2 linked regions of the Lepisosteus oculatus genome follow. Each later gene encodes a partner of the first gene's protein in a complex. Links are inferred from orthologs where the notes say so. Each region holds a gene or a part of one and is shown on either strand. Other genes may lie near its edges. The genes, in order: atp8b1 and cell cycle control protein 50A.

Evidence for each region.
Region 2: the proteins of atp8b1 (region 1) and cell cycle control protein 50A are in contact, whole or in part, in a cryo-EM structure (PDB 7VGI), measured with the Homo sapiens proteins. The link is inferred for Lepisosteus oculatus from reciprocal best matches to the Homo sapiens genes ATP8B1 and TMEM30A. Residues at the interface, in NP_001361314.1 of Homo sapiens: Thr138, His359, Trp362, Glu363, Val366, Ser369, Ser370, Trp371, Tyr372, Leu373, Tyr374, Asp375, Gly376, Arg384, Ile388, Phe418, Asn420, Trp421, Asp422, Leu423, Tyr426, Lys430, Asp431, Thr432, Pro433, His939, Trp942, Arg946, Tyr968, Phe971; in NP_060717.1 of Homo sapiens: Lys24, Thr25, Arg26, Arg27, Pro28, Asn30, Phe33, Lys34, Gln35, Gln36, Arg37, Leu38, Pro39, Ala40, Trp41, Gln42, Pro43, Ile44, Leu45, Thr46, Ala47, Val50, Phe54, Ile57, Phe61, Ile64, Ile68, Ile75, Phe119, Tyr121.

The regions. Positions count from the first base shown.
Region 1 is NC_090698.1:66,524,524-66,532,187, forward strand, and holds the start of atp8b1 (phospholipid-transporting ATPase IC), read right to left. Parts: upstream 3,220-7,664; 5' UTR 2,929-3,219; intron 1-2,928. Other genes in the region: taf1c (TATA box-binding protein-associated factor, RNA polymerase I, subunit C), read left to right, coding at 6,889-7,041. UniProt on the Homo sapiens protein: Catalytic component of a P4-ATPase flippase complex which catalyzes the hydrolysis of ATP coupled to the transport of phospholipids, in particular phosphatidylcholines (PC), from the outer to the inner leaflet of the plasma membrane.
Region 2 is NC_090697.1:9,267,269-9,275,404, reverse strand, and holds the start of cell cycle control protein 50A, read right to left. Parts: upstream 3,009-8,136; 5' UTR 2,766-3,008; coding exon 2,517-2,765; intron 1,492-2,516; coding exon 1,372-1,491; intron 1-1,371. UniProt on the Homo sapiens protein: Accessory component of a P4-ATPase flippase complex which catalyzes the hydrolysis of ATP coupled to the transport of aminophospholipids from the outer to the inner leaflet of various membranes and ensures the maintenance of asymmetric distribution of phospholipids.

The sequences.
Region 1 (7,664 bases):
TCAATTACTCATCTGAAGACAAAGCATGATAATTGTTAATAATGCGTCAGTTCATTACATCCTCACATTCAAGCACTCGTTAACATGATCTGAAGAGAAAATACTTGGATGTACCAAAGGCATTTCTTACTAATTGGATTTTTAGCACTTTAAATGCTAAAACTAGAATATATGTATTTTCTAGTATTGAATGCCCCACTAACCAAATTGGGGCTCTGTAGTCTGTTAAAAATACAAGATTTAGATAAAAACGACATTCTTTTTTACCAAGGTATTTTTTTTTTACTGTAGGACACAATGGGAAAAAAAATGTTATCAACTAGAATATGAGACTCATAGGTTAGCTGCCATAGTAACAGTAAATAATTTGATACATTTCTCGAAGGACATTGATTAAGAATCGATAAAACAGTGCTGGTCTCTTGAAAGTTCGTCACCATATCCTACTTTCTGTCAGTAACATGAACAAGACATCCACTTAAATAGAGCTGAAGACACAGACAAGTGCAATACCTAAAGCATTCCTGAACAGCTCCAGTAACATTTGTTTGAGATCATTCGTTTTTTGGATTCCAACACGAAGAAGTAGACGATGTGTTCTTCAAGTTGTTTTTAAAGAAAGGTGATCCTTAAATATAGGTAAAAAAAACTTGAACACTCTTACACTACAGCCTAATCATAGAAAGTATTGTTCTTTTTACAACACATGGCAAACTATTTTGCAATGATGATCTTATCAACATGTTATTCTCAAAACGTGAGTAGCATCAGAATAATCTTAGTATCTATACTTTACTTAAGTATTTAACTTACATAAGAAACGCCTACTTAACTATTGAAAACATCAGATCAGTAAAAAGCAGAATCGCAGAATTACACCCGCTTCCCTCAACAAATGAACATTCAAAACACTACCATTAAGGGTAAAAATACTTCCAGATGTTTTTTTTTTAATTCACCACATAGAATACTGAAGGAAAAAGTGAAATTCATCAAATAAATACGAAAATGTCTTTGATGACATCCTATATTGGATCACAGACCGTCCCATAGCATCGTTATGGGAAATGTCCAGTAAAGAAACTAGCATTTACAGGACTAGAGAGTAAAACGTCTGGAGTTAATTACAAACCCTGTAGGCTTCTATTTATCTGTACAATTAAACTGAATGTTCAGAGCCGAGATGGAGGGTTTCCTACTTGGGAACAGTATTATAGAAAACAGTCAATAAAGGATTTACTAACGAGAAACTGCCTTACAAACAAAAAAGCAGAATTACAGGTCCTCACGCAGTGTTGTCTCGACCTCAGATTATTTTCTTAGTAATGGCAAATACTACTATGGATCGGCATTCCATATATACAGTATATGTTAACAATTGAAGCATTTTATTTACTGTCTTGCCGTTTCTGATTCACAATTTCTACAATAATACGAAGATATTTAGTAACAACTCGCATCAATAAAAAACTACTTATAAAAGGAGACGTTTCAGCCAGGAGTGAGGTAGCGCAGGGCTCAGTGGTTGAGATGCTGATATTTCTGATTTTCAAGCTTTTTTTCTCCAGAAATGACACCGACCTCAACATCATCAATAAACTAGTCATATTTCAAGATACACTGATTCAGGGCAAGCCTGAACCAGCACTCTTTATCAGCGACAGAAGGGATCCAAAAGGGTTAATGCGGTATCCAAATTAAGAAGTTCAAGTAATTACATCAGAAAACAGCGTTAAATACTGCGTTAAACACCTGTGATGAACGGGGCGTTCTACAATAACACGACGACGACGTATCAGTTATAACATCTAAGTAGCGGGGAGAGTGAATACAAAGGGCTGAACAATTCAAGATAATTTATACAGCCAATACTGGTGATGTTAAATAAAGCTCTATATTACACCCAAATGCAGTAAATTTCCACTCCTAGAGTAGTAGGACTAATAAAAACAAGATTCTGATTGGCGTTTCATCCAATCACGATTTGATAGGCGTGTCGTCCCGACTGAGTCTGACATAAACCTTTTCCTCAGCCTCCAAACTGGAAAACAACCGATGTCAAATAACCGTGAATTCTGAATCTCAGAGATCACCCACGAAGGCTCGTTATTACGCCCATCAATAAAGAAGGTTTTACCAACTGTTCTCCACTCCTCCGCAATAACCTTCGCGTTGTTAACAATAGTGGCTTACATCTGTTCTAACGGTGAAATATTTCCCCAGTCAGCCCCTGACATCCAGTAGATCAGCTAAAAAAATACAATTTTTTCAATTTCTCCGCAAGTAAAGGGGAGGGTTCATTTACCATACCGATCATAAACATCTTTACAGTATGAAAAAAGGATTGCACGAGCTAATTAATATCGCTATGAAGCAAATGAAATCCAACAGCACAGAGAGCTACCATTTTTTCACATCATAAATTAATATATATACACATCCAGACTAAAAGAATTTCTAAATTCTACTTATTTCCAGCGATCACTGACTTAGTCAAACATCCAGGTAAAACGATGTGCTTACAAAGTGAGAAGCCATAATCTCGCGTATTTACTTCTCAATAAAAAGAATACTAAGTGTTTACGTTAACAAGTGGGAATATCAGCTCTAATGGGTTTTTTAAAACAAAAAACTTTTTTTGAATCATTAAAACTTTCCGACGTCAATTCAGTCTCTTTAGATATCATGCAAGCGGAATGTAAGGACGTTGTATGCAAAATATTAATATATTCCCAAGACTTTAGTTTTTTTTTATGAGTTATATCGCAAGTTGTAAAACTGCTCAAAACTTCTAAAATCATGCGATAGAAAACGCCTACATACGTTGAGGGAAACACGCTTAACTCAAACTCTCAGGTAAGAGCCAACCTGAAGAGCAATCATGAGCGCAGGGATGCGATTAAAACGAGACTTGAAAAAAACACTTACCAAATTCCTTTATATTTCGGTAGTTTGTTTCTTTTCTTCTTCTTTTTTTACGCTTCTTTTCGCCTTTCAACCCGTTGAACCATGTTAACGAGCAAGTCGTTTCCCCGTCACAAGCTAAGCGCAGGTTTCGGCTCACTCCCTTTCGCAAGCGTAATAATGGCTACCTTGTTCAGAAACTAGATAAACGGGTCGGCCGGGTTTTTGTTGTGTGGTAAACCTTTCGAATTAGGAGCAAACGACTTGAGACATTTTAGTCCTGGGCGAACACAAACATTTCTTTCTAACCGGTAGAAAAGGAAGAGTTACGGTCACGTGGCTGGGCAGGTAAAGGTGAGATAGGGCTCTATCATCCCATTCATAGCCAAATTGGAACAGTATTTGCATGAAGTGAAATTAGGACGTAACAAAACAGGGTTTGCACGGATACGAAACATAATATTCGTATATGTCTTTGACAAGTAGAGGTCATCTTTAAAAATGCAAAGTGTTTCGATTTTTTTACACTGCGTATAGTATTAATTTCGTCCCTCCTTTTTGAATCTGTACCTCTTAATTTAGTGACTTGCTAGATTATTTTACGTTTGTTTTAGTAACAGGTGGAGCATAACCGAAGAACGCAGCGTTTTCCCCTTATGATCTGCTATTGGTCCCCATTGATCATTTTTTATTTTATTTTATGCAGCTTTATAGCCAAAGATAATCCTCAGAATCATGAATTCACTTGCTCCTGCTGAGCTCCCAGTTGTAGGTTGTTTGATTTTGCATTTGTCGGTAAGTGTATAACAACATATGCTTCCTAAATTACAAATTGTTATGTGGTCACATGTACATTCTGCTGTTCTGGGTGACTTTCAGTCTGAAAAAGGTTACTTTTTTGGGAGCTGGGACATTGAGTTCCCTGTATAGGAAGGAGAAGCTTGTATACAATTAATTAAGACAATTAAAGGTTGTGTAGTTATGGAACAGGTTACCCAGCCATGGTGTTGAAGCTGATATACCTTGGTTACTTTTAAGAAATGTCTTAACAAGTTCCTTGGCTCAATTAACTTCTAGCTACCAAATAGGTTAGATGGGTCACCTAGTCTCCTCTCTTTTGTAACCACACATACATTCTCATGTTTAAGGTAAAATAATAACAATTCCTTGCATTTACAGTATATGGCATGTTTTTTAATCCCTGAGGATCTCACAACTAGACATTGAATGAGATCCACTTCATGTACCAATGTAACACAGCACTGATGTAGGGGACAGGCAGCAGTCTACATGAGCCAGTACACAGCAGATCCGTTAGTGAAGAAATGCTTCAGCAATTGACCGAAGCCAGCAAGGCAACTTTAGAAAGGCCAGATTGAACACGCCCAGTGTGTAATGTGGCCTGAACACCAGGATTAGTATCTTTTCTCTATCATTAAGAGCCTTAGTGACCAAGTAGTCAGGACTTTGGATTTATGTACCATTCATACTGGGGTCCGGCTTGGAAAGAGTGCCACCTACTGGTCCAACATCGCCACTTACAGCAGCAACCTGTTATCCCACTACTGACCCAGCTAGATGCTTAACTTCATAGATCTGTGGCAGCTTGTGTGTCACCATATTTTAAATCAATATTACGATTCTAAAGTACCTTACAAAGAAAAGGAGGGCTTGATAATACTGTTACAAACTTGTCACAAATTTGTTACAAACAGTTTTATCAATCCTCCTATCTTTCTCATTCACTTAAAAGGTGGATTGATTTAAAGAACATGTGAGTCTCCTGCTCACATCAATTGATGATTCTTTGGAACATTTAAAGATTATTTTATTAAACCCTGTGACTCTCCATTCAGTGAATGGTTATTTATTGTTCTACAGTATATGCTTCAAGTAGATATGTGCACCATTGAATAATAATGAAACAGAACCCATACATTCAGGGCATAAGAGCACAGACCTTGGTAAAACACAGGCACAGGTGTGCCACCTTTATTACTGAAGGAGTAATAAACATAACAGGAGTAATACATAACAGGAAGGACTACAGCAAAAAAAAAAAAACATGTTTTTATTTATCCCTCTATCCTTTCACTGGGCGTAGAAACTCTGAGGGAGAGAAGAGATAAGATAAGATCACTTTATTGGCCATATACAATTTCTGGTATTAGGAATTTGTCTTTTCGCATGCACACACGGAGAGGGAGAGAAGCTGGGGGTCAGAGCACAGGGTCATCCATTTACAAGGCACCCCTAGAGCTAGTTTCTGTTTCCTGTCTCCTGAACAGGAGTCCCCTCGCCCATCCGCCTTCGGCAGGAGCGTCAGAACACGTGACTCGATGGGACAACCTGTTTGTGTTACTATCTGCCCCCTTCCTCCCAATCCCATGTCAGAGAGCCGTCGCCCGCCTTGAGTGGAGTTTCCATCTCGCTCTGGGGTCCTGCGGGTGGTCTCAGTGCAGCCCCACACCTGAGGGCTCAGCAGCCGGGTCCCCTCCCACACCGCCGCCAAGGGAGCCCCCAGTTTCTCGCGCTGCTGGCTGAAGCCGGAGCAGCGTGTCTGAAATGTGTGAGCCCTGAAAGTGGTGCCCTGTGCTCCACAGCTAGTGCCTCTCTCTCCGTTAAATTCCTCTCCTCTCCGCCGGTACAGTCGCGCCTCCTCCCTCTAGACTAGGGCAGCGACTGGCCCCATATTCCCCGGACACTGTGAGACAAAGCGGCATTTTAAAAGTGCCCTGACACCGAAATACATCATTGTGTAAACCGACCAATAGACTTTTACTGAATTGACCTTCACGCTTAATTATCAATCAGGGGCAGGGAATAAAATAGTTGTATATGATTCTTTTTTCTCAATAAAGAAGCGTCTATATCTTTTTTTAAAAAAAAATAATTTCAATCCACCCCGTCACCTGCAGAGACCCCTCTTTGAAAGTTGCTATTTGCATTTTCTTCGAATTGGGTCTTCATTGGCAAGGTTTGCCGATCACATTGATGGACCGACAGTGCAAATTACGATTATACTGTAGAACAGATGACCTAAGAAAAACTAATTAAAAAACTACCAGCTGGTGGAACGCATCGAGACAAATCGCCAACATTAAAAAAATGGACAGCTGTCGTTGATCAAATAAAACAGTTCTCCGCTGATACTCTTTACTCCACGACCAAACGAAAAAGAAGAAAAAAAAACAATTTAGTAAAAAGGATTGACGTTTAATTTACACCTTAGGCTACGTTTAAACCCCAGACTCCCAAATGTGGTGGCGCACCTACAGTACGCCTGAAACCGGGTTTAATGAAAGTTTTTTTTTTTTGCACTGGACTCTTGCCGGCTCAAGTTTCGCAGAGGCCAGGGTTATTTGCCTTGACAATAATCGCTGTTTTTTTTTCCAAATTTGGCAACAGCCGGTAACCGACGTACCGGTTAGTGATGGAAACGGTTTTAGTCAGTTCTATGTGTTGGCTGTACATGTCCCAAGATGTATTTGTGTTGTGTAAATGTCTGTAGACCTTTGTATTCGCCGTGTGCGCTTTGGCACCACTGTAACACTGCGGTCATGACAATAAAGCTGTTTGAATTTGAATGTAGTGGCGTCCCCCTTTTCCACTAAGCCTGAAGGGCCTTGGCGAGCTCCTTCTCCTCCGATTGGTTACCGGTCTCATCCAGGGGAAGGGCTCACTCTTTCCTCTCTCCACCCCCCAGTCCCCCCAGTTTGGCGTCAAAACAGACTCCTCCTGCCGCGTTGGCTTCCGTTTTCGGAGCCTTTCGTTTACAGGAACACGTGTGGCGCGTACGCGTTCTTGTTTCGGACTGATGGTGTCGGGAAATTAATTTAACAACCAACCAACAAAAACAAAAAACCCCGTCAGGTTTGTACCTAGTCGTGCAGCGCAGCGCGGAGCGGAAGGGAGACGCGCTCGCCTCGTTGCCCAGTGCTGGGGTTAAACGGGGCCGGTTTGACACATGGGTCGAGCCCAGACATGGCCGGGCGTACGGACAGTGCGTTTCCCCCGATGCTTTTCCCCCAGGCCTACAACACCGGGCCTCCGGGCAGGACCGCTGGCGTCCTGCCGGTTGTAGGCGGCTGGGGGGTCTACGGCCAGATCCGGGGAGTGGACCGTCTTGTGCCGGAGGTGAGTACTTCAGCTCCTGCGCTCGCAGATCGTCAGCAGCTCCTGCGCAGGAACCTGCCGCTTAAGAGCCTCGGATCGTTTTTGCACATGCAAATGCACAAAGAATCGTCTTGTTTTGGTGGGGTGTCGTTTCACCCTGCATGCTCGCCTAAGTGCTTGCTTGAGCAGAATGGGATGTATCGCCTTATTTTGCAAATATTTTGCAATAAGATCATGCAAAACCTTATGTTGCATTATCTGCCAGCTCGCTGGCTGGGAAAAAAAAAACTGTTTTGCCTGACCTAGAATAAAGTTAGTAATTTGATCCATTCGGTTATCTATATACGCGATACAAAAGTGGTATTTCATGACGGTGTTGGGAAGATTTCAAATGACGGGAGGCCGACGGTACATCGTTTCGTAACTTAACTCATTGATCAGGATGTCAACCAGTAGTGTCTTAAAGGCAGCGACGGGCTCGTCTTCAACAACGTGGCCGACAAACTGGTTCCGTACTCCCGCAGTCTTTTTGTTTTCTGTTTTCGTCTGGCAAGGCTGATTTTCAACAAGTCTTGTAGGGTTTGGTGCCTTTTTGAGGATTTTGAATACCTGTCTCGGGTCCCCTCAGAGTTAAGTAAGAGCCC
Region 2 (8,136 bases), on another chromosome or scaffold:
GGGTTTCCAATAAAAATACTCTGCATTAAGACAGAATGAAAAACTGAAAAGAAAGAAAACTTTTGGGCTCCTAGAATGCACTATTTTCACATACAGCTAATAATTACACGACTGGGTTAATTTCAACCAATGTAAAATTCAAAGGTGAATGTTTTTCATGAATCAAACAAAAGTCATCCATTTGTGTCTCAGGTGGATCTTGTGCGCATCACTTCCAGACCTAAAATTCCATTGCATGAATTATTCATTGAGAAATAACTCTGATTCATGAGTGCTGCTGGGCTTTGGACATTGTGAGCATGGTTAATAGCAGCGCAAGCAGATGAGAATCTGGAAGCTCATCTGAAAAGGCACCTCAGATGCTGTCCGAACAATTGACATTTAATCACTAAATGTAAGCCAATACATATTCTGACAGGACATACGTTTTACACATATTCCAGCCAACTACTAGTAATTATTCTCTCAGTGCTCATGCACAGGAATTCCCTAAGGAGAAATTAGTTATTTCTCAAAAAATATACCAATTTAAGGGTGACACAGCAGTTCAGCAGTTAGCACTGTTGCCTTGCACTGCTGGAGCTTGGGTTCGACAAGATCTGTGTGGAGTTTGCATGTTCCCCACATGTATGTTACAGGTTTTCTCTGGGTGCTCCAGTTTCCTCCTACAGTTCAAACACATACTTGGGCCTGGTGTGAGCATGTGTCTATGTCTGCCTGCCATTGACTGGTGTCCCATCCAGAGTGTATCCCACCTTGCTCCCCCACGACACCGAACCGGACACAGCGGTTAGAAAATGGATGGAAAAGATCTGTAAAATGGCGCCGACAGGGAAGGCTGCCGTCCTGCGAGCTCCCATTCATCCTTGTCTATTTCTTATTTGTTTTGTTTTTCGTACTGCTAACTGCACATACTGTTTGCTCGGTGATTAGATATGACCGACAAACACTTATAGACATAAGTTTGAATATTGGCACAGTTCAGCATACTGCACTACCTGGACATAATATATTGCATACACCATGGACACATAGCAGCTCTATTCATATTGAGGTTTATTCCGTTACTAGTACATTATTATCTATTATCAGGTAACCTTATTTTTGTAACCTTAATTTTGTGATTTTTGTGATTCTTGAAATATTTCATTGCCAGCAATTATTGTTGTGCATTTGATAAATAAACTTTGATTTGATGTGGGTGGATATTAGTTTGCATCTCATAATATTATAATTGTCCCATCCAGGGTCTTTCAGACTTCATATCTCGTCTGCCAGCGCAGGCTCTGGCTCAACATGACTCTGTACTGGACTAAGTGTAATGGATGAAGTTACAGTTACTCTAAAACTTACACATCACTTCGGTCTTACCTCAAAGGGCTGGTCCAGTGTAAAAGGGACAGAGCACATACAAGGCTTTGTGCTGTTCCAGCTGTACGTCTGAGAACAGTTGAAGCAGGGACTAGACATGTCAATGCCAGTGTAATCAATCTGGAATATAGAAGGCACAGCTATTACTAGGGGATAATCAATCAGCTCTTAAGAGACAAGAAACTGGTTTACGTACTTGCAAGAATTCAATATGGAACAAAACCAGCTGTAATCACTTACAATAAGATCAGTATAACAATATTTTAGCATTGTTCACAATAATGAAGAGATTAAATGGACAAAAGGATTTGAAATTACACTTCTAAAGTATGCCTTTAAGAGAAGACAATCAGAGTGCAGTAATACACACAGCTCCACGTTCATTCTTCTGCAGAGCTGAAAGACATACAGAACTTGTTTTGTTACTGTAACCCACAGCATAAACCGTATGCCTAAAGTCTACACATGCCTGCAAACCAAATACTGTACCTGCTTTAACTATTTTAAATGCAAGGAAGGCACTGAACATAATGGCATTCTCGGCATTCTCGGATTGAACATAATGGCATTCTTTTACACGGACGAATGAGCCAACAGAAATTCAATTACCTTTGCATATGCCTTCTATGTTAAGATCAAATATTTACTTAACCTCACGAAAACTACCGTGGCAATACATCAGAGTGCAAACTGCACTAAATATACACCGGTCATACTGAAAGAGCAAAACTGATGTCCCTATACTGAACACACTTCGGCGCTTAATTCTGAAGAATCAACAGTGTTTAGAGTATGGCCATGAACGTTGCAACATTGAGTGCTAGTGCATTTCAACACACCAGAGACGCAGAAATACGTTTTCACACCCTTCATCATACCTAACAAAAAAAATCACTACATCGAGGTTGGGCGAATGCAAAAAAATACTGAGTTATATACAGTAATAAAAGTTCATTACTGAATAACACTGTAGAAGACTGGTGCCGAGACGATAATGTGTTGATATCCGAGTGTACACAGAACCGCAGGCTGTAGTGTATCATTCAGAGACCTGCAGCCCCGAAACCGCTACAGGTGATTCGCAGTACCCCCAAGACACCACGCAGTTACCCCTTAATACTGTGCTCATGCCAACACCGCCGTACCTCGAATTCTTTGATGTTGTTCGAAGTGACGAAGAGCCCGATGCCGATGGGGATGAAGATGAGACCAATGACGAAGAAAGCGGGCAGCACCGTGCCCGCGGTGAGGATGGGCTGCCAAGCGGGCAGCCTTTGCTGTTTGAAGGCTGTGTTGTCCGGCTTCTTGCTCTTGATAGCCCCACCGCCGCCAGGCCCGGAGGCCCCGGAGTGGTGACCGTCTTCCTCCTTTGCGTTATAGCTAGACGCCATCATGGCTAATATCCCGTTTCGCTGCACCACCAACACAGAAACCCGGAGAGAAGAATTACGAGGACGAGAGGCTGCGATCGGTGAAACACCGGCGCCCTAAACTACATGTATGTAGTTCGTTACGATGAAAAATTATATCAATAACGATACTCCTTTAACCTTTAAATTCTACCCCCCCATCAAGGAAAAGCAGCAGCGACTAAATAAAACCAGGAAGCTTCTAAATCCCAAACACGTAACGTGCGTGATGACGTCTGTTAATCGCAGAGCGGACGCGCGATGTTCCTATGGGTGGTATTGGGGAAACTGAGAGTTAATCGCGCTAAAAACACTTTAGGTTTGTGTGTTTAATGTGTTCTACAACAATTTATTTTCTTAAGATAAATTTAGTAATAGAGTGCATGCAAATTTCTTATTGTCTCTCACACAGACTTTATTTGACTCTTATGTTTTTTCTTATGCAGAGCGCCAAAGCAATAATGCATCTTTGCGCTTTATGAAGTTACCAGTTTATGGCACATTGTGCAATTCCTTATTCGCCTCGGGCGCTGGCAATCCGCCATTCAGCTTGTCGCTAAAGCGTTTAAGGAATACATCTGTGTGATAAAATGTCATTTTGCGACTGTGATCGATGCAAGAGTAGCAAAAAAAAATCCCAGGATAAAGTTCTTCCGTGCTTTCTCCTCTGGTACAGTATTATACATTATGAATAAACCTTTCATGCCGTGTATTTGAATCAGGTCCCTTTTACTGTTTGAGATTACAGAGGTTCTGTGCGTTTCAGTCAGTCAGTGTAGAACAATCCTTAAAGCTCGAGGTTGTGTCTGATTTATCTGCACTAATTCCAGAGCAAAAATACGCAATTCTTGTAACGCAGTGAACAATACTGTACAGATAGTACTGCGAGTGCGAATTAAGTCTTGCTAGTGCATTACATAATTTTAAAGTAACAGTAAAGTCAATCTAAACTTTTTTATTGCTTTGCCACACTGTCAAGATTGAAATGTTGTGTCAAGATAACCACCTTATTTGTTTTTCATAAGTGGCCTCTTCAAGTTCAGAATTTCACAGTTCATGTGTTCGCTTGAATTTGTCAATGGAAATGGAAATTTTGAGTTTCCATTAAATCTTCTACAGTGTTTGATGATCCTCCTATTTTGGTAATATCTGCAGTCATCTACAGTTTACTAACTGCAGGGTAGGAGTGTGCAGTAAGTGGATAGAGTTTTGGACTTGAACTGGTTGTTGGTTCAGATCCCCGGGAGAGACACTGCTGCTGTACCTTTGAGATTAATAATAATAATTAATTTCTGGACACTCCACTCAAAGTGGTTTACAGATAATGGGGACTCCCCTCCACCACCACCAATGTGCAGCCCCACCTGGATGATGTGATGACAGCCATTGTGCACCAGTACACTCACCACACATCAGCTATCAGTGGGGAGGAGAGCAGAGTGATGGAGCCAGTTCAGAGATCAGGTTTATTAGGAGGAAATGTGGATAGGACACCAGGGTAACACCCCTACTCTTTTTTGAGAAACGCCATGGGATTTTTAATGACCACAGAGAGTCAGGACCTCAGTTTAACGTCTCATCTGAAGGACGGCGACTTTTTACAGTATAGTGTCCCCGTCACTATATTGGGGCATTAGGACCCACATAGACCGCAGGTGACACTAACACCTCTTTCGGCAGCAACCTTAGTTTTTCCCAGGAGGTCTCCCATCCAGGTACTGATCAGGCTCACACCTGCTGAGCTTCAGTGGGCTGCCAGTTGTGAGTTGAGTGGTGATATGGCTGCTGGCTAGATTGTTCCAGCTGTATATAGTGGTGCAAATATAAGTCTCAGGATAAACGCATCACCCAAAAACATCAATATAAACTCGATTACAATTATATCAACATATGTATAGAGTATATAGTGTAAATAGAAATGGTCCTCAAACAAGTTAAAGAAAATAATTGTTAAAAATACTGAGACATACCAATTGGATCCAGGGACCCCACTGAAAACATATTCTACTGGCATGGCAATAATCAGGAACAGGTAAAGGTTTTGACTGTGGAGCCTCCTTCAGGTGTCGTTTTTTTACCTTTCAGCGTGGAATCAACCTCTGCATGTTCCTTCACTGCCTACGCATGCGGACGCAGCTCTCCACTTGAACTTCATGGTAATAATCACGGGATGGGATGAGTACCATCGGGTCATGGCAATCCTATGGATAGTTCCCCTGTCACTATCCACAGTTTTCATGGCAGGATACAGAAGTAGATTCCAGGCCTTTCTTCCACACAGATAGCGCGAGCGTTGTTGCCGTTGTCACGGAAACGTGATCCTCCGCCGCCAACACCACCCCACCCTGCTGCTGCCCAGTATGGGTTATTAGACAACCTGGCGCCCGACTTGGGACACGAACCCACTACCCTGAGATAGATAGATAATACTTTATTAATCCCGTAGGGAAATTGATGTGTTACAGCAGTCCAGACCAAGACAAGCAAAACAGACATCAGAATAGTTATAAAACAAAAGACAAACAAAATAAATAAATACATAGGTGAATTAGATTAGGGGGTCTCATGCTCTACCCACAGAGCTAGCTGGGGCTCTGGTAATAATCATACTGGCATGATATGGTTTCAGGTCTGCTAAAATATTCCAGACCATGCCTTTCTGGAATCTTCCATGCTGATCTGTGTTCTCTAATGAAGACTTTCTACACCAGCGGTTCTCCTTTCTGGCCCTGGGGGACATCTCCGCCCTTGGGGTTTTGCTCCGCCTGGTTGTTGGAGTGATTGCTCCATCTTAATCCCAGTTTTCATTCAAGACCTATTTAAAATTTGCGTTCAGCTCTCAAAAAGGCGAATAGGAATTTGTAATTGGCTCCAGCCTTATACTAATTAGTGAGTTCCAGAAGTGACCTCATTTCAAGTGTGTTTCCTTGAAATATGACTGATTGGACAAGGAAAAACTCTCAGTTCATGAAGGAGTGTTTTGTATATTGATATATTATCATTCCCATGTGCATCTGTTCATTATAAAACAGTCACCTATTCAAGCTTGCATATTACTTTATGTATATATAAGCTTTTTAGTTAGAAATAAGGGAACTTACTCAGCAAGTTCAGGAGAGATTTCATAAAGTTTTGTAGAATGTTAGAAATAATACACTGAAGACTTTAGTGTTTTTGAAGCCGAGGCCTAAACAAGCAAGCAAATCAGTTACTGGCACCAGTTTGCACTGGTGTTAACCCAGCTGAAGCTGAAACCACAGGACCAGAACCGATAACCACTGGTCTATACTGTTAAAGCATATGTGAGAAAAAAGGAGAACCAACAATAATAGAGAAACCAGGGTCAGTGTGTTGTGTTTGACATGGTTACTTGACAGGAAAACCATAATTTAAGGAGATTTCATCACCTGGCAGCAGAGGCCCTTGCTGGAAGGTTACTGTTGCTGACAACATGAAAAATCACAGCCTAATCAGCCTCCATCATTTTTGTTTACAGTGGAACAAGCCTTGCACGTCAACGTTCAGAGTTTAGAGTTGAATTCTTCGAGCACCACGCATTTGCAACCTGACATGCAGTCTCTTGGGGGACAATCGTAGTTTTCCTTAAGTTGTAATGATCTAAAGTGAAACAGGAGGAGGCTTAGACACCTGTGGTCAATTGATCCATTGTCGTACCACCCAGAATTAGGGGGAGAAGGAGGCCTCAGGCTGTATTTCTCATTGTAGCTGACATCACCGAGCCTGTGACGAGCGCGGCTCTGCCCCTGCCAGAATTTGATCATGGTCGCTAACAGGCAACGCCAGCTTCAGGGCCTCACGGTCACCGCCCGCCAGAGAGCAGTGAATTCTGCCTGGAAGAAAGGTCAGATTCCAGGGGTACCCAGGCTCCAAGAAGGTGATGTCACCTTCTGTAACAGGCTCAGTGCTGGTAATGAGTCCTGCTCCACACTCACTAAAGGCATTAGTGACATGGAGGATCCACATTCGGTCCAGTTTAGAAGCCACCAATAGACCATCAGAGCTCGTTAGACTGCAGACACAGGGAGATAAACAGCAACCTGACAAAGTGCCTCACAAAAATGTAGTATCATGCGTCTCAGGGTAAAAAGTCCATACTGGTGCCAAAGTTGCTCATTAAGACAGAAATTATTCTTATTTCTGTCTGCATCATTAAGCAGACTAGAGAGCACATACCACCCCCTTCGATCACACACCAGACTATTGCAGGGATTATGCCCCCCCCCCCACAGCAACACAGTTTCCCATTGATACAGCTGGGTGGACCGGAGCAGGCAGGTGATTTGATCAAGGACATAACAGCAGTGTCTGCAGTGTGGACTTGAACCAACCAACCTAGTCACCAACCATGAGCCCAAAGGCTTACCCTGTGCACAGCTCAGCCCCATGAATCCCAGGGTTGTTGACAAGGATATCTGAACGGTATCTAGTGAAATGTGCTCTGCCAAAAGCCAGGAGAACCAGCTCTGCAACTGAACACTTTATATCAGGAGACCAGCACTGGTTGTGTTGAGCCCAAATCCGGTTCATCCTTCATCGTTCTATTGATTGGGAGTCCTGGTGAGGTATATATTAATTACACAAGTAAAAATGTTTTCAATAAAGGGACTTTGGTAATTATGGGTTGAAGGTTTCAGGTTCGTCAGATTTTGTTTCAGTAAATCACTTAATTCACCCCACAAAAAAAAACTAAATGTTTTTTTTAGTTGTTCTTAAATTTAAGTTTTGTAAATTTTCAAAAGTTACAATTTAATAAGGATCTATACCACAACCCTGTACTGGATAAGACTAATAAAAAATATAGATTGATATTTTATGAATTAAGACCTGTCCAGAGATAGAGTTGGAGATAAATATATGGCATTGCTGCAGAGCAGGTTTATTATATGACTTATGTATATTTTGTTCTTAACATACTGTACAAGTCATTAATCTGATATGGAAACACTCTAAAAAGGAAGAAAATAAAAGTTCTAATTAGATTAAAATTAAAATACAGCTACATATTTGTCTTCCATTGAAGACAGTGGAATGTGTGCATGAATACCACACAAATGCATGTCTCTCTCCCCACACATACACAGACAATCCATTACTGTGGAACTGTTTGACTCTGCTTGCATCCAATAGCATTATTGGAGTATGATGGTTAATATTGGGTCTTTACACTTATGTACCTTAAATAAAAAATGATCCTAGATACAAGGTACTGTACATATAAATGTTTATTCATTACAACAAATATAACTCCAAGCAGTTCATTTTATTTAAAAAAAAATGTTTTATTTGTAGCTCCCCATCATGTGACTTTGTGTACGAAGAATTTGCAAGCAGGGTT